3 linked regions of the Mus musculus genome follow. The protein of the gene in region 3 purifies or fractionates together with the protein of the main gene of each other region. This does not show direct contact. Links are inferred from orthologs where the notes say so. Each region holds a gene or a part of one and is shown on either strand. Other genes may lie near its edges.

What was found.
Region 1: the proteins of Rbbp7 (region 3) and Brms1l purify together in Homo sapiens (affinity purification with mass spectrometry; 4 studies listed by BioGRID and IntAct, counting the BioPlex papers as one, with this or other methods). This does not show direct contact. The link is inferred for Mus musculus from reciprocal best matches to the Homo sapiens genes RBBP7 and BRMS1L.
Region 2: the proteins of Rbbp7 (region 3) and Bcl11a purify together in Homo sapiens (affinity purification with mass spectrometry; 4 studies listed by BioGRID and IntAct, counting the BioPlex papers as one, with this or other methods). This does not show direct contact. The link is inferred for Mus musculus from reciprocal best matches to the Homo sapiens genes RBBP7 and BCL11A.

What each region holds. Positions count from the first base shown.
Region 1 is NC_000078.6:55,858,597-55,865,620, reverse strand, and holds part of Brms1l (breast cancer metastasis-suppressor 1-like protein), read right to left. Parts: intron 5,531-7,024; coding exon 5,434-5,530; intron 4,534-5,433; coding exon 4,450-4,533; intron 4,232-4,449; coding exon 4,167-4,231; intron 2,488-4,166; coding exon 2,448-2,487; intron 1-2,447. UniProt on the Homo sapiens protein: Involved in the histone deacetylase (HDAC1)-dependent transcriptional repression activity. When overexpressed in lung cancer cell line that lacks p53/TP53 expression, inhibits cell growth.
Region 2 is NC_000077.6:24,161,556-24,165,055, reverse strand, and holds part of Bcl11a (B-cell lymphoma/leukemia 11A), read right to left. Parts: intron 1,911-3,500; coding exon 1-1,910. UniProt on the Homo sapiens protein: Transcription factor. Associated with the BAF SWI/SNF chromatin remodeling complex. Binds to the 5'-TGACCA-3' sequence motif in regulatory regions of target genes, including a distal promoter of the HBG1 hemoglobin subunit gamma-1 gene.
Region 3 is NC_000086.7:162,757,220-162,764,343, reverse strand, and holds the start of Rbbp7 (histone-binding protein RBBP7), read right to left. Parts: upstream 3,973-7,124; 5' UTR 3,653-3,972; coding exon 3,637-3,652; intron 3,496-3,636; exon of another isoform or gene 3,181-3,495; intron 2,770-3,180; coding exon 2,625-2,769; intron 1-2,624. UniProt on the Homo sapiens protein: Core histone-binding subunit that may target chromatin remodeling factors, histone acetyltransferases and histone deacetylases to their histone substrates in a manner that is regulated by nucleosomal DNA.

The sequences.
Region 1 (7,024 bases), on a different chromosome or scaffold from region 3:
GATAGAGAAGCAGGGCCACAAGGGTAGGCAAGCGCATGGGTGACTGAATACCAGCACCATTTTTAAACAGCCCTGAAAATTTCAAATTGTTATATTCCAAAAGTAATTTCAAATCTCCCGTATAAGGCATCTCATACTTGGAAAAAAGCAGAATATAATGTTTAATGAGAAGTCTCCAGAACTTTAACTATCCACAGTAGAACAGCATTTCCGACTCTCAGAATGGTTTGGCATGAGTAGGTAAACTACTGCAGGGAAAACATGTTCCTTATGGAAACACATCCATGTGACTGTCACAATCACACCACACACCAGCAGCACCTTCACCATTCATACTGTCCCTTCTTAGGAAATCACCAACACAACTTGCCAAGGACTCCATAATCCTCGTTACCATCTGATACTAACTCACTGAGTCTCAAACATAGGACTCCACCTCCTGAAAGGAGGCTCTCAGTTTATCTCCTTCCCCACTAATTCTCCAAGACCCTAAAAACGTCTCTAGTAGATAGGAAGTAGTGATACGTACAGGTGTGCTTGTTTTACAGCCATTCATTCATTCATTCATTCATTCATTCCATGTCTGAGTCCATCCTATGCACAAGGAGCTGTGCTGGGTGCTGAGGGAAGACTAAGAAAAGAGACAGAAGCCAGCCTCCAGAAAGCTTATAATCCAGTCAGGAGGCAGTCAAACAAGTAGAGAGTTAGTTTAAAAGTGCCAAGAGCCAGTGAGACGGCTCAGCAGGTAAACACGCATGCCATACAAGCCTCGTAACCTGAGTCTGATGTCAAACCCCAAGTGAAAGGGAAGAACCATCTCTCAAAGCTATCTTCTGCTCTTCACATGTGCGCCATGGCATGCATGTGATCGATCGATCTATCTATCTATCTATCTATCTATCTATCTATCTATCTATCTATCTATCTCTCATTCTCTCTCTCTCTTTCTCTCTCTCTCCTCCCAAAAAACCACCATATGCACAAGCACAATACTTTATTCTTTAAAAAGAATTGTGGAATTTATCATCACTAAAAATAAAGTAAAATGTACAAATGGCGGTGAGTATCATAAAGAAACGCAGTACAAAGTTAAGGTAAACACGGGCGGGAAACCAGAGCCATTCCGCTGGGTGGTGGAACTCTAACCAATGGCGGTTAATCAATAGTCTGAGGAGCAGAAGCCACATAAAAGCCAGGCAGGCATAGCAGCAGCCTGTAATCCCAGCACAGGGAGCAGAAACTAGGGCTCCCCAGGCCATTCACAGGAGCCAGACTTACCAGAATCAACACTCTACTCAAGAAGGAAACTTGTGTCCATAAGTAAGGTAGAAAGCCATCAAGGACAAATCTCTAGCACCACAAACACACTCATGCACCCACACACATAACCACATGTATACACACACACACACACACACACACACACACACACACACACCCCTCCCCCCAAATTAATGACTCAAAACATTCTAGAGACTTAGGCATCTGACTCTCCAGTCAAGGGCAGTATATAGGTGTAATTTCCTAATGTGAAATAAAGTTTAAAGGAACCATTGAGAGAGGAAAAAATAATTAGAACATTCTTAAAGATAAATATCTCTTAAATATACTTTTGAAGCCGGGCGTGGTGGCACACGCCTTTAATCCCAGCACTCAGAGGCAGAGGCAGGCGGATTTCTGAGTTCGAGGCCAGCCTGGTCTACAGAATGAGTTCCAGGACAGCCTGGGCTACACTGAGAAACCCTGTCTCGGAAAAAAAAAAAAAAAACCCCAAAAAACAAAAAACAACAACAAAAAACAAACAACAAACAAACAAAAAACATTTGAAATGGAATAAGAAATTCTCTTCCTTAATATTTAAAAGATATTTTTAATCTAACCCCATTATAATCCCATTATAATCTACTAAAGAATTACAAAAAAAAATCTATAAACAACAACAACAAAAACCCATAGATACCAATGTTCATTACAACTTGGGCAGTTGTCTTAGAGTTATAAAAAAATAAAAAGGTTAAAAAAGACATATATCATCTTAGCACTCAGGAGTCAACAGCAAACAGGTCATAATTTTAGAAAAGATCTATTTCGAAATAAAATATGTGGGGCAGTGGTGGTACACGCCTTTAATCCCAGCACTTGGGAGGCAGAGGCAGGAGGATTTCTGAGTTCGAGGCCAGCCTGGTCTACAGAGTGAGTTCCAGGACAGCCAGGACTACATAGAGAAATCCGGTCTCGAAAAAAAAAAACAACCAACCAAACCAACAACAACAAAGACAGAAAGAAGACACAGTCAGCACTGGAAGCAGGAGACTCCTGACTCCTCATGTCAGTTACAGAGGTCGCTGGCCACCGGAACCACTACCGGGTTCCTCTTCAATATGCAGGGAATTTTACCACCCTGACTGAACAGTTCTCCACAGAACATGTCACAACTCATAACTTACGTTCTGTTTTAACTCGGTGTGGACCCAGTGTAGCCATTGCCTAAGAAAAAAGATGGGGGAAGGGGAGAAAGAAATCTGGATTCAGACTGAAAACAGATTTTGTGATTTATAATACACACAGTGTCCTCAATTAGTTTGCTAACAGAATAAAATATAAACATTGGCTGTTCTCGTTTTCTCCTGGTGATAGGGGAAGAGCACAAGGCGTCACACATGCTAGGCAAGCAAGTCAGGCAAGCACGCCAGAATGAGTCACCCCAACCTCCAGGCTAACGGTACCTAAAGTCATAAACAACACCTCCTTCCATAGCCACTATTAATAGCTGAAATATGTTCCCTGGACAATTTATAAAAATGGCAATTTTTTTATATTTTAAAGATATTTATTTTATGTATGTGAATATACTGCCACTCCCCTCAGACACACCAGAAGAGGGCATCGGATCCCATTACAGTTGGTTGTGAGCCACCATGTGGTTGCTGGGAATTGAACTCAGGACCTCTGGAAAGCAGTGAGTGCTCTTAACCACTGAGCCATCTCTCCAGCCCCAAAATGAGAATTTTTAATAGGAAAGCAAGCCTCAAACCTTGTAACCCAATTCCCAAGAAGGCCAAGAAAGGAGGCTTTCAAGTTCAAAGACAACAGGGGCTACCAAGTGACTTCTAGGGCAGTCTGAGTGAAATAAAAAATAAAAATGGTAATAGAAATAAATAAAAAGTAAAAAGATGACAAGATACACAGCTCCATTCTTAAACAAGCATCAAAGAGTCACACCTCAATAGTTATTAATATAATATAAAGCACATAGGTTCAATGCATTCATTCAAAAAATGTTTACTAGGTGCCTTCTATACACCAGAAACAGAAAAGCTCTGAACCCTAACACTCTAGGCAAACTAAACATACGCTATTCCATACTCTTGTATAAATTGATACACTATTACAGGAAAAAATACAAATTACTGACATGTCTCTAATTCTTACAATATTCTACAGCCCATGTTAAGCAAAGCATATTTCCAACAATTTCATTTTCATATATTGATATACTCTTAAAAGGCAGAGTATAAAAATGTACTTCTGCGTGTGGATACTTCATTCCTCCCTAGAATAGGGAATAAAATACCCATGGAAGGAGTTACAGAGACAAAGTTTGGAGCTAAGACGAAAGGATGGACTATCCAGAGACTACCCCAACGGGGGATCCATCCCATAATCAGCCACCAAAGCCAGACACTATTGCATATGCCAGCAAGATTTTGCTGAAAGAACTTAATATAGCTGTCTCGTGTGAGGCTATGACAGTGCCTGGCAAATACAGAAGTGGATGCTCATAGTCATTTATAGGATGAAACACAGGGCCCCCAGTGGAGGAGCTAGAGAAAATACCCAAGGAGCTGAAGGGCAACCCTATAGGAGGAACAACAATATGAACTAACCAGTACCCCCTAGAGCTCATGTCTCTAGCTGCATATGTAGCAGAAGATGGCCTAGTCGGCCATCATTGGGAAGAGAGGCCCCTTGGTCTTGCAAACTTTATATGCCCCCAGTACAGGGGAATGTCAGGGCCAAGAGTGGGAGTGGGTGTGTAGGGGAGCAGGGTGGGAGGAGGGTATAGGGGACTTTTGGGATAGCATTTGAAATGTAAATGAAGAAAATATCTAATAAAAAAAATTTTTTTAAAAATGCACTTCTGCCGCACCATTCGCCAACCATACCTTCCTAATTGTCGTCCAGTCCTCAAGAATGTCGAGATCCTGCAGCATATAAACTATATATGGACGTTGAGGCGTCAAGGTCAACTTGCAGCAAGAACATCACAGACCCAGTGAACTGATGCAGGAAGAGTATGGGTTCAAGGCCAGCCTGGGCTACATACAAGACCTTGCCTCAAAAGCGCCTGTACAAACTGACCACAGTGCACCATGAGCCGCCGTGTCCCCTCCACCCCGTGCCGAAATGGTTTCCACAGTGTGGAAACCCAGAGTGCGGAAAGGATATCTGAGACAACGACCGGCTTCTTCTTGTCGGGGCTGAACGGATCCTTCCTCTTTTTCCGTGACTGAAGCTCGTCGTTCCACAGCTCTGCAAGGGAATCAGCGCGTGAGCTCCTTTCCAGCGGCCACAGGAAGAACGGGCAGCGCAGACTTTCACATTTACTGCTTCTTTACATACAAATCTCCAGGGAACTGCACTCAGAGGTGGTTCCTTTTCATTTTTTTACACGTATTTACTTATACATAGCGTGTGTTGCCTGCACGCTTGCACACCACAACTTACACATGGAGGTCAGAGGGCAGCTTAGGAGGGTGTGGTCTCTCCTTGCACCGCATGGGTGCTGGGGATCAAATTCAGGTTGCCCGCCCTGGAGGCAAGCGCCTCCCCTCTGAGCCGTCTCTCTAGTGGCTGCCCTGAGGTAGGTGTAGCTATGCTTTTTACCTCAGTTTTCCATACAAGGACACCCACTTAGAAAGACTAGTCAACTGTCCACAGACACCTAACTCATGAGCAAAGCACCCACACTGATCTCACCACATCTGCCCCAACTATAGCAAAGAAGCAAAATCAAGACAAAACCAGTAATACCTACTCAAGAACTGTGGGCCAATCTAGTAAAACTGCCAGTGCCCAACAGAAAACTTCCCTAAGTCATCCTGAAATGGCCACACTTCACACTGACTGGGTCTAATCATCACAGCAGGGTTTCCTTTCTCCAAGGCAAACACCTACCGCCCTGAAACATTTACCCACTCGCCTGGAAGAACACAGGAAGCTGTCTTCCAGCAAGTCCCGTGGCTAGCTCCTGTCACACTGCTGGTCTGTCCCTTTTCTAGAGTGTGCCTCTGAATCCAAGGAACAACCTCTACTTCATCTCGCTCTTCCGAAGTCCCCCCTGCTCCCTCCAGCTAGGACACTGCATTTGCATAGCATCCACTGGAGAAGACTGAGGCTTTTGGGGACACCACATCACACGGCAGCCCTGACCTGAGGTAATGTCGATGCTGTGCCTGTCCTCCTCAAGCCTTCTTATCTTCTCCTCAAGCTCACTCTGGACTGTATCATATAACAAAAGCTTTTCACTCTGGAAAGAAACATGATACTTAAGTGAAAAGAAAGAAATACCAGTTTATCTTAACTAGCAATACCAAATGATTTAGCATACGTTAATATATGGTGGCTTTGGTTTGGTTTTGGTTTTTGGTTTGGTTTAATAAATGGTTGTTGCATTTGCTTTTTTCATTTTTCTAAATTATTTTTGCCTCCCCCACCACACACCCCTGTTCTGAGAATTGAAGCAAGGGTGTGTACATGCTAGATAAGTGCTCGCCTCTGAGCTACATCTTAGCCCCCAAATTAAAATTTTTGAAGAAAAATTTTCAGTATATAAAAGAAATAAAACCAGGGGTCAGTTATAAAAATAGACTTAACTAAGTAAAATAGCATCCTGCTTAAGAATATCTAAATTGAAGCCGGAGAAATGGCTCAGGTCACTTGTTGCTCTTGCAGAGGACCCAGGTTCAGCGCCCAGCTAGGAACTCAACGCCATCTGTAACTCCAGCTCCAGGAGGTTTGATGCTCTCCACAGACACGCGCACGCATGCACACATGCGCACAGGAGCGCGCACACACGAATTAAAAAAAATAAATAAAATTTTTAATTAAGTAAAATAGATCATATTGGGTTTTACTGTATCTACATCATATTAAATACAGCAATATATCGCAAAAAATATTTAGATACAAATTTTAGAGCCATTTAAAGCAACTCAATAAATATATTTCAGTTAGAATATACTAAAGCAATAGATTGACTTACAAAAATGTAGTATGATAACTCAGGTATAAAAGGATAGATTAACTACATCAGACTCACTTGCTAAAACCGACAAGACGGGGAGAGGATGAAGTCTAATGGGGAGTGCTTACCTAGCATGTTAAAGGCTCTTGTTCAATCCTAAGTACCACAAAAATATAAATCCATGAATAAAATGGACAGTAAATAAATAGGTAGATAGATAAACAAACCACTAGAAGATACATACAGTATAACCTTCAGGTTTGTGCAGATTAAATTTGCAATCTGTATCAGAAGAACTCACAATCGACACACAGACCTGCTACCTATAAGAGTGTGTGTGGCCTTCCCCAACTTTCCCCACAAGAAGTCTTGTCTTATGATAGATTTCGTAAGATGCTCATATCTATAATATTCCAGTATTGACTTGAAGTAATGTTGTGGTGAGTGGCTTGTGACTCTGTTAGCGGCTTGTCCCCTCACTAACTTCATATCAGCGATTAAACCTAGGGCCTTGTACATGCTGTGCAAGTGCCTACCACTTGACCTATAGCAGCCAGCTTTGACTTTCAGTTTGTGACAGAATCTTACTAAGTTGTTCATGCTGACCCCGAGATCAGTCTGGAGAAAAGGTAGCCCGTTAACCTGGTATCGTACTGCCTCAACCATCCATGGAGCTGGAGTTACACACCTTCTCTACCATGCTCAGCCTTATAGGCTTTTATGAAAGGCCCTCTGTGTTATATTTATATATTTTTATGGCGTTTTTATAAAAAGAGC
Region 2 (3,500 bases), on a different chromosome or scaffold from region 3:
AACGTCCTTCCCCACCTGGCCATGCGTTTTCATGTGCCTGGTGAGCTTGCTACTCTGGGCACAGGCATAGTTGCACAGCTCGCATTTATAAGGCCTTTCGCCCGTGTGGCTTCTCCTGTGGACAGTGAGATTGCTACAGTTCTTGAAGACTTTCCCACAGTACTCACAAGTGTCGCTGCGTCTGCCCTCTTTTGAGCTGGGCCTGCCCGGGCCCGGACCACTAATATGGGGCGTGCTCCCTCCACTTCCTGTGCCGCTGCGCCCTGAGATCCCTCCGTCCAGCTCCCCGGGCGGTGTGGAGAAGCGCAAGCTCCCGTTCTCCGAGGAGTGCTCTGATGAGGAGGCAAAAGGCGATTGTCTGGAGTCTCCGAAAGTAAGGAAGGGATCTTTGAGCTGCCTGGAGGCCGCATAGCCAGCGAGCCACTGCGAATACACGTTCTCCGTGTTAGGCATCGCGGCCGGGGGCAGGTCAAACTCCTTCTCCAGCTTGATGCGCTTGGAGAAGGGGCTCAGCGAGCTGGGGCTACCCAGCAGCAGCTTTTTGGACAGACCCCCCGAAGCCGATTCGCCGGGGGAGCAGCCACGACCATTAACAGTGCCATCGTCTATGCGGTCTGACTCACCGGCCACCGAGTCTTCATCACAAGTGTCCCTATGGCCCTCGGCCTCGGCCAGGTGGCTACGCTTATGCTTTTCGCCCAGGACCTGGTGGAAGGCCTCGCTGAAGTGCTGCATGGAGCTGAGCACCATGCCCTGCATGACATCGGGCAGGGCGCGGCCCTCGTCGCCCACGCCCACCACTGCGCCCCGAGAGCTGTTCTCATGGTGGCGTGCAGCCTCCAGGCTCAGCCCGAAGCCGTAGTCCACCCTCTCGCTCTCCGTCAGCTCCTCCTCCTCCTCTTCCTCCTCTTCTTCTTCTTCCTCGTCGTCCTCCTCTTCCTCCTCATCCCCGTTCTCTGGGATCAAGTTGGGGTCGTTCTCACTCTTGAACTTGGCCACCACTGACTTGAGCGCACTGCTGGCGCTGCCCACCAGGTCGCTGGTACCAGGTTCCGGGGAGCTGGCTGTGGAGAGGCCATCGTCGGACTTGACTGTCATGGGGGACGATTTGTGCATGTGTGTCTTCATGTGACGCTTCAGCTTGCTGGCCTGTGTGCACGCGTGGTCGCACAGGTTGCACTTATAGGGCTTCTCACCAGTATGGCTGCGTCGGTGAACCACCAAGTTGCTCTGAAATTTGAACGTCTTGCCGCAGAACTCGCATGACTTGGACTTGACCGGGGGTTGGGAGGGAGGAGGGGCGGATTGCAGAGGAGGGAGGGGGGGCGTCGCCAGGAAGGGTGGCTTGCTACCTGGCTGGAATGGTTGCAGTAACCTTTGCATAGGACTGGGCCGGCCTGGGGACAGCGGTGGACTAGACGTGTTCCCTGCCAGCTCTCTAAGTCTCCTAGAGAAATCCATGGCGGGAGGCTCCATAGCCATTGGATTCAACCGCAGCACCCTGTCAAAGGCACTCGGGTGATGGGTGGCCAGGGCCATCTCTTCCGCCCCCAGGCGCTCTATGCGGTGGGGGTCCAAGTGATGTCTCGGTGGTGGACTAAACAGGGGGGGAGTGGGTGGAAAGCGCCCTTCTGCCAGGCCGGAAGCCTCTCTCGATACTGATCCTGGTATTCTTAGCAGGTTAAAGGGGTTATTGTCTGCAATATGAATCCCATGGAGAGGTGGCTGGGAAGGACATTCTGCACCTAGTCCTGAAGGGATACCAACCCGCGGGGTCAGGGGACTTCCGTGTTCACTTTCTAAGTAGATTCTTAATCCATGAGTGTTCTGTGCGTGTTGCAAGAGAAACCATGCACTGGTGAATGGCTGTTTGCAAGTTGTACATGTGTAGCTGCTGGGCTCATCTTTACCTGCAAAACAATACAACACCAACATCAATGCTTAATCATTGAGGCAGGCATCAGCAATTGCTTATTCATGTTCCAACAACCAGCCTCTCCTGGCCCCATCTCGTAAGCCTCAGCCTTCACCCACCTACCCTGGTGCCTACGTGCTGTTTTCCATGTCTGGAGCCCAATAAATATTTGTCAAATTAGTAGTCTTGGTGACATTTTACTCAGTTCCAAGAGTTCCATATTCAAGCCCCATAGCACAAAGTCCTAACTGGTCCAGGCTCAGTTAAAAGGAACACTCCATTCTAGGGGTCTCAGCAAGTCATTTCAGCTCTGTGCCACTGTCTCATTGGTTAAATGGGGTACTGAGACAAGGCCAAAGCCAGAGTCAGTTTGATGTCTCGCAGGAAAACGTTTGCACCCTGACTCCTCTGGTCCTAGTCCATTTTCCTGTGGGTCGCAGGAGAGCTTAACTTTCTAACAAGGCAATATTACTGCATAGAGATATCAAAAAGAAGGTCAAAAATCAATATAATTCTCTGACCCTACATGGTTCAACTGGAAACACACTAATTGTTGGTCTGTCTTGGGTTCCTTAACATCCTATAATTCCATGTTTAATCTCAAGGGGGTGTTGTGATTAAAATCTCAAAAGAAAAATGTAATTCTGATTTAACTGAAAAGCTGTATTGAATCCTTAGGCATTCTCCCCAGTTCAACAAAAGAGAGAGTAGAGAAGTTAGGAGTGGCTGGTGCCAACTTCAGCAGACCCAGCATGCTGGTTGTAGGAGCAGTGGCGGCAGCCAGCACCATGACAGGCGGCAGGCTGAGCAATGCTACCCTAGCCGCAGCCTCATTATTTTGAGAGGCTAACAACGTGAACCAAATTATACAACATCCTGCGCCCTCGGCTGAGACTAGGCTCCAGTTGAGAAAGAAACAGAAAGATACAGTTCAGCTAGTCAACTCTTTGGCCAGTGGCCAAGCTGTCTGGAGAGGGGCCCTGCTCAAGTCACATTGTTTCTCTCTTACTGAAAAGAACCCAAGAGTGGTAAATGCCACTTTGGCAAAGAGGTGGCCGGCTTGACTTCACAAAATTCATTCATTTTTTTTCTGATAGCTAAATTTAAATATATATTCCCATATATGTACGTAGCTATATATATGTATGTTAAGGAACCCAACACACACATATATGGGGTTTATGGAGTAACCAACAGTTTACCAGCCAACTGCAACATTTAAGGATGTAGAAGAGACAATGGCCTAGGGACAAGGATGAGTCTAGCTAATGTCCCAGACACTTTAAAAAAATGCCAGGGCTTAAAGTATAACTGAGAAATACACTTTCTCCCCTATGTGAGGCTAGAACAGTCCCTTAACCCATAGCTAGCATTCCTAAGTAACTTTTTCAATGGAACAAAATTCACCAGGGAGCTAAGGAGTGGGCACAAGGAATTCATCAATTATATGATTCCTCCATTTAGCAAGTCAGAAAGAAAAGCTGCCAAGGTCTTCTCAGGAGCCCCAAACATTCATATTCCAAAGCAAGCCAGCCTCGCTCAAGCGCTTGTCTAAATAATGGACTCCTGCCCTGACCTTGTAATT
Region 3 (7,124 bases):
TGGTGATATGGCTCAGTGGTTAAGATCACTGACTGCTGTGTTCAATTCCCAGCAACCACATGGTGGCTCACAGCCATCTGTATTGGGATCAGATGCCCTCTTCTGGTGTGTCTGAAGACAGCAACAGTGTACTCATATGCATAAAGTAAATAAAGCTAGGCAGTGGTGACACACGCCTTTAATCCCAGCAGAGACAGAGACAGGTGGATCTCTTGAGTTCTAGGCCAGCCTGGTCTACATAGTGAGTTCCAGGACAGCCAGGGCTATACAGAGAAACCCTGTCTCGGAAAAACCAAAAAAAAATTTTTAAATGTAAATAAAAATAAGTCTTTTAAAAAATTCAAAAAAGCCTCTATCATGCTTCAGTTAAGTAAAAAGGTTAAAAAAAAAAAAACCAAACTGTTCATAATTGTTAATTAACAGAAAAACAAAAAGACAAATGCAGCAAAATTCCAAAGAACCTGAATACCCTTGTTAATAGATAGGTTGATGTTTTTGTTGTTATTCTTTAATTTTTTTCAAGATTTGAAGTATAGCAGTGTTTTCTCTGCCTCAGGCCTGTGTAAGTGAGAGAAGAGCATCATCTCTTAGGACCTGGATTACAGAAGGCTGACATACCAGCTGGGCGCTGGGAATCAGAAACCCAAGTACTTTGTAAGAGCAGCTAGTGCTCTTAACCACTTAACTTATTCCTTTGCCCTTTGGATTTTTTTGTCTTCCTGAGAAACACAGTCTTGCTAGGTGGTGGTAGGGTACATCTTTAATACTAGCACTTGGGAGGCAGGTGGATCTTTGTGAGCTAGTGGACAACCTGGTGTCTGTGTGTGTGTATGTGTATTTGTTTATTTCCAGGGCAGCCAAGGCTACAGAAAAAACAATGTCTCAAAAAAGAGGGGGGGGGAATATGGTCTTGGGGCTGGAGATGGCTCAGTGGTTAAGAGCACTGGCTGCTCTTTCAAAGGTCCTGAGTTCAATCCCCCAGCAACCACATGGTGGCTCACACCATCTGTAATGGGATCTAATGCCGCCTTCTGGTGTGTGTCTAAAGACAGCTACAGTGTACTCATATAAATAAATCTTAAAAAAACAAAAACAAAAATCCATGGTCTTATGAGTATACCTCAGGCAGGCCTATAACTTAGAATTATACCCATGTGCCATCACACCCAGCTCATTCTATTTTTATTCTATTTACTTATTTATTTATTGTGTGTGGATATGCATGTCTACAACAGTGTACATGTGTAGATCAAAAGACAACTTGCAGGAGTCAATGCTTTCTAGTTCTGGAGACTGAATTCATGTTCTTAGGCTTGGAAGCAAGTGCCTTACCATGCGAAGCCACCTTGCCAACCCTCAGTCTATTTTAGAATCTGTTCAAAACACCTTAGCCACAGAGCACATGCCTACTATGCTGAGGCCCTGGGTTTGAACCACCTCCAGTGCTGAAAAAATTAAAATCAATGCCTATAAGCCCCCATTATGTAGCAATTCAAGACTCTTCTCACTGGACATTTAGATTTTTAAAATGGAATTTTAACATAAAAAAACCTGCAAATAAAAAACATGAGATTTTGAGACAGCAAGCCCACATCTGGAAGGTCAATATTCATATATGGAACCTAGCCCTTTCAAGTGATTTTAAAACTAGCTTCTTTTTACCACTGGTCACAAATTCTTCCTTGTATATTAGTTTCATTTGACCCTAATTATAGGCTCACTATACAAAAAAAAGACAAAAAAAAAAAATCAATATACTTTTAAGGTATGTGCCCATATTCCTATAGAAAAAGTACATGCCAGGCTGGTGAGATGGCTCACTTGGTAAGAGCACCCGACTGCTCTTCCAAAGGTCTGAAGTTCAAATCCCAGCAACCACATGGTGGCTCACAACCGTCCGTAATGAGATCTGATTCCCTCTTCTGGAGTGTTTGAAGACAGCTACAGTGTACTTACATATAATAAAAATAAATAAATCTTTTAAAAAAATTACAAAAAAAAGGTACATGCCTACCTAAAGGTAGTCTAGTGAAGGAAGTGCCTTGATTCTGGAGCCAACCGGTTTTGGTTGGTTGAGCCCTAGTTTGTAAGCTATGAGATCGCCAGTAGTGAGCGCTTGAGCACCGTGCTTAAAATTCTCATCCCCTTTCCTCACTGGTAAATCTCTGAATCGCAACAGTAGTTCTGTTATGAGGCTTAAACTCTTCAGATGTGTCAGGTTCTATTATTCTAAGTGCTCCATAAATATCAGTAATTATGCCAAATCTTACAAATATTCAAGAAAATCACTTAATGCATCAAGCCATAATAGCTTTTAATTTGTTATGTATGTAATCTTTCCTATTAAGTTTGAAAATAATGTATTGATCTAGAGTCCAGAGATGTTGGTCATGGAATGGCAAAATAGTCATCGTTTCCTATACACAGTATTACACAATATTCTCTCCTCTCAACACACCTCTACGATAGAAACCATCTTAAGTTTTGAACAACCACTTGCCGCCTCACCCTCGGCCTAACCAATTAGGTATTTATGTTCTGTGTGTAAAATAACATTAACAATACCTAGAAATTTAACATGGTACTTAAATCTACACAAAATAGAAGTTGGCAGAAACCCTTACTTAGTCACTTCAGGAAGCCACTGAACGGTAAGACTGGGCCACTGAAGAGCATGGGTCATAACCAGGTCATACAGAAACGGTGTATTCTTCTTCCAGATTTTATACTCTTCGTTGATGACACGCTCCTCCACAGTATCTTCAAACACTGAAATTTGGAGAAAGCCCACAATTAAGTGGCTGAGAAGGCTCGGAGTCAAAGGCATGGCTACGGATCCTGGAGGTCACCTCGAGACGGCCACACCTTATCTATTCTTTCCTTTTACCTATCCTGCTCACACGAACTGCTCTCCCACAAAGTGAGAAGATCAACATCAGGAAGCGTTTTCGCCTCCACTTCCAAGATCGGGATTCCGGCGCTTACCCGAATTGGGTCATTAATTGCCCTACCACCGAGCTCGTCAGCCTTTTTATAGCCGCTCGCACCTGTTCTACGATGATCCGCATTGTAAACCGGTGCCCCGACCCACTCGAATAGATCCAATCCACGTGGAACAGCAGCAGCCCACAGGCCTGCTCCCTCCACCCCCCACCCTCGCAGGAGGCCCCAGCTCCCCACCAAGCCACGATCGGCAGCCATAGTCCGGCGGGATCCAGCTCCTCCCCCCCCTCCCGACACGGACACGGGCCGCGACCCCAGACGGACGACGACCACGCGCACGGAAGAATCCGCGCCCGCCGCTGACTTCTCGGGCCGCGAGCGCCTGCGCCCCCGAGCCAAGGGCGTCGGAGGGAGCTAGGCCGCGGGGTGGGGGTGGGGGTGGGGGAAGGGGGGCCTCTCTCTCGGCCCCCGCGCCCGGCTCCGGAAATGCTCCCGGCCCTCGGCGGCGACCAGGCCCCGTGTCGCGCAGGCCCCCTTGCAGGCGCGCGGCGAGTCTCGCGCCCAGCCCCGCCCCCTGCTCCTCACGCCAATTCGCGCCTTTCGTCAGCGCGTGCCGAGGCCTCGGGAGCCCGCCAGCCCCCCGGAGTCCCGGCGCCCGCACGCCCGCCCGCCCCACAGGGCAGGCATCCTTACTCTCTTTACTCGCCATCTTGCGTCGGGTCGTTTCGCCCCCCTTGGCCGCCTCGGACTTCTCTCTCGCTAGTCAAGAGCAGCCCGGCAGGCGCTCCTTGCCTCTCCCAGGCACGTCACGCAGTCCTCGCTCGGAAAAGCCTGAGTTCGGTCTGGCCGTCTGGGTTCTCCCCCCAGACGCCGCGATCTCCTCTTCTGCCTCCTCCCCGCTGGCGGGTAGCGAGGTCTGAGCCGCTCTCCTCTCTCTCCCTCTCGCCAAACTTGGAACGAGACTTTTCAACCCGCGCCTCTCAGCCCGCCCAGGCAGCTGAGCGCAGGCGCAGCCGCCCTGGGAAATTGGAGAGGCGGAGAAGAGGCGGGCCTGGGAGCCAACGGCTCGGCGGCTTGGACCAATAGCGTGCGACGGGAGGGTCTGACGCGCTCTCCGGGGGTGGGCTTCTCGAGAGTGGGTGGGGCGTTCCGCGGCAGGAAGTCGGCGAGGCGCAGGCGCGAGGCGTCACTCCCCAGGCTGGCCGCGGGGGCGGCTGGGCCCGCGCGGGGGTGGGGCGGATGCGAGCGCGGTGTGCAGGCTGCGCGGGGGCTGCGAGCCCCAGGGCCAAGAAGCCTGGGGCCCGCGGGGCGTGGTTGCTTAAAGCAGCAGCCGCGGCGGCGGCGGCGGCGGCGGGGGTGTGCGAGGGGGGCAGGGAAGCTGCAGCCGCCTTAGCAAAGCAAAATCTCAGAGCCAGTGAGGAAAATGGTTTCCTGGTCTCGAGAGATTACACTGCCCGCAAAGTCTCCCAGATAATCACGGCCACGCAGTTTTCTGCACCCCTCAAAGGCTCCCCCATTCAACTGTATCGAGGGCCCAGTCGAGCTCTGGTGACATTTGTCATAAGCGAAAGGGACCTTTAGGAGAGACCTTGGGCGGGTTTTTCTTTTTTCTCCCAGAAGCTGGGCAGACCTTTATTTAAGGCCTGCGATGGCGCAGGCCTTCAATCCGCCCCTCGTCGAAAGTTGACTTAAATGACTTTTTGTATGTTCACCTTTGTGCGTCCTTAACCTACTGGTTCTTTAGCTTCCTGCTGCTGCAGGGGATTTTGTGCCTGCCACTGCTTCCCTATCTCAGTTCCTGCCTAGGCCCCTGCTGAGTCATTCTTGTCACCTGAAGGGGTCCCATTTTGACCCTGCAGCTGGCTGCTGAACTGGAGAGAGCTGGGCTGGGCTAATCTAGGCCTGCATACCTGAGCTCTGCATTTCTCTGAAGCTTTTTAGCCTTGGGGGGGGGGGTGAAGAGAAAGCCACATGATCCCAGGGAGAAAAAGAGGGCCAGAGCAGAGGGGCCCAGGCGCCTACGCTTAAAGGGAACCACAGTCTACATCTAAACTCAGAGGCTCTCCTTGCAGAAACACCCCCGGAACATTTGTTCCCTTGATAGCTTTCCAAGTGCCTTCATGCTTAAACGCAACCATGCAGAGGCCTCGAGGATGCTCTCTTTTCTGATCGAGAAACCAACTCAGACGTTACTCTAGTATGTGACAGAAACAGTCACGTTCCCTTATATAGAAATTTACTGTCTTGGGTCTCTTGTTTTCCCATGTGGTACAATTCATTATTATAACGCCCTCCCTCCATGTCAGCTCCAAGAATCTTGCTGGTGACTAACGCTGAAGAGGTGGCTGGAGGCGGGAGGGGGGCGGTTAGAAGAGTGGAGTAGCATGGGTCCTCCGAGTTCTAGAACACTGGTGGTCAAACTTTTTTTTTTTGACAGGGGTCAGGCAGCCTTCGGTGTTGTAACACAACAGCCATAGAAAATATGGATAAGCCTGGCCATCTTCCAGCAAAACTATAGACACTGAAATCTGAACTCTGTGTACTTTTCACAGGTCACAAAATATTCTCTCTCTGTGTTTTTTTTTTCAATCACTTGGAAATGAAAAAAATCATGCTTTGCTTCAGGGCCATGCAAAAGCCCCTTGGTGGGCGAGATTTAAAGGACTGGAGCTTGTCCACCTTGTTCTAGAATAATTGTGTCCTACAGCTCTGCTTCAGCAGGAACTATGTGTACTCAGAGAAGACTTGAGAGGTGATTTCCTGTCAGTAATATAATTTGCTCATTTTGATGAGTAGTTATGATTTCTAAAATAAACGTTTAAAGGACTGAGCGAACCTGGTGTGTAATCCCAGTCCGTGGAAACTGGAGGTAGGTAGGTAGGAGGATCTTTGTTCAAAAGCCAGCCTGGAATGCCTAGGAACCTTGTCACAAAAAACAAGTAACTCTTCCCAGACAATATGAATTTAGTTTAAACTGTGTACACACAGAGGTGGGGGGGGGGTCGAGTAGAGGACGAGTGTGTGTGTGTGTGTGTGTGTGTGTGTGTGTGTGTGTGTGTTAGTCAGTCCTGGATATCTAATCCAGGGCCTTGCACATGGTAGGCAAATGTGCTTCACCTGAGTTTCCCAGCTAACTAAATTCTTTTATTTGGGGGGGGGGGGGCTGTTCCAAGACAGGGCTTCTCTATGTAGCCCTGGCTGTCCTGGAACTCACTCTGTAGACCAGGCTGGCCTCGAACTCAGAAATTTGCCTGCCTCTGCCTCCCAATGTGCTGGGATTAAAGGCGTGCGCCACCACTGCCCAACTAAATTCTTTATACTCTTTAGTTTACCTTCAAGACGTTGAGAAGAAAGCTTGGAGGGACAGACATTTCAGGAATTTTGAGATTATTCACATGCTATTGTACACTTAATCTGAAAGGTTCATAGAAACCATGTTTCATTAACTTTGGAATTTGTTTTTTTTTTTTTTTTGGCCTCTTTTTTAGGATAGGTTGTCCACAAACTTACTTTGTAGCCAAGGTTAGCCTTGAATTCCTGAATTCATTGTCCCCCAGATGCTGCAATTACAAGTGTCCATCACCACTTCCTGCTGGAACTGTTTTTTTTTACTGTTTTTGTTAAATTGAATACATTGGTACTAATCTATTTTTGTGTGTTTTTTTCCCCCCATAAAAATCTAACACCAGTCTTCTGTTTTGAGTTGCTTAACTGTTCGGTTTTGTTTTGCCTGTCTCCCCAGGCTCTTAGCCGTGCTCTTGGTCTTCCTTGGCGCTTTTTCTGTGGTTATTTCCTTGTTTTTCCTCTGTAGGTTAAGTCCTAGTGGAAAGAAAGTACAACTCGTTTTAGGCGTGAGACGTGGGTTTTGTTAACTAAGACAGGTCCTGTTTACGGATCTTTGAAGATGCCTCAGTGGATAAGAGTGTTTGCTGTGCGAGAGGACTTTGAGTTTTAGTCCCCGGCACTCAGCAGGCTCAGGACGTGTCTTCACTTGCCGTGTCACAACAATGCGGGGTGGGGGACTGCAGTGACAGATAAATCCTGGGAGCTCCCTAGCCAGCAAGCCAGCCTAGCTGAAACAGCAAGCTTCAGTTTGGTGAGAGTCCCTGCCTTAAAAAAAATGTGAAGAACAATAGAGAAAGACACCAAGGCCTCTGGGTGCACGTTTGTGCACGAGTGCC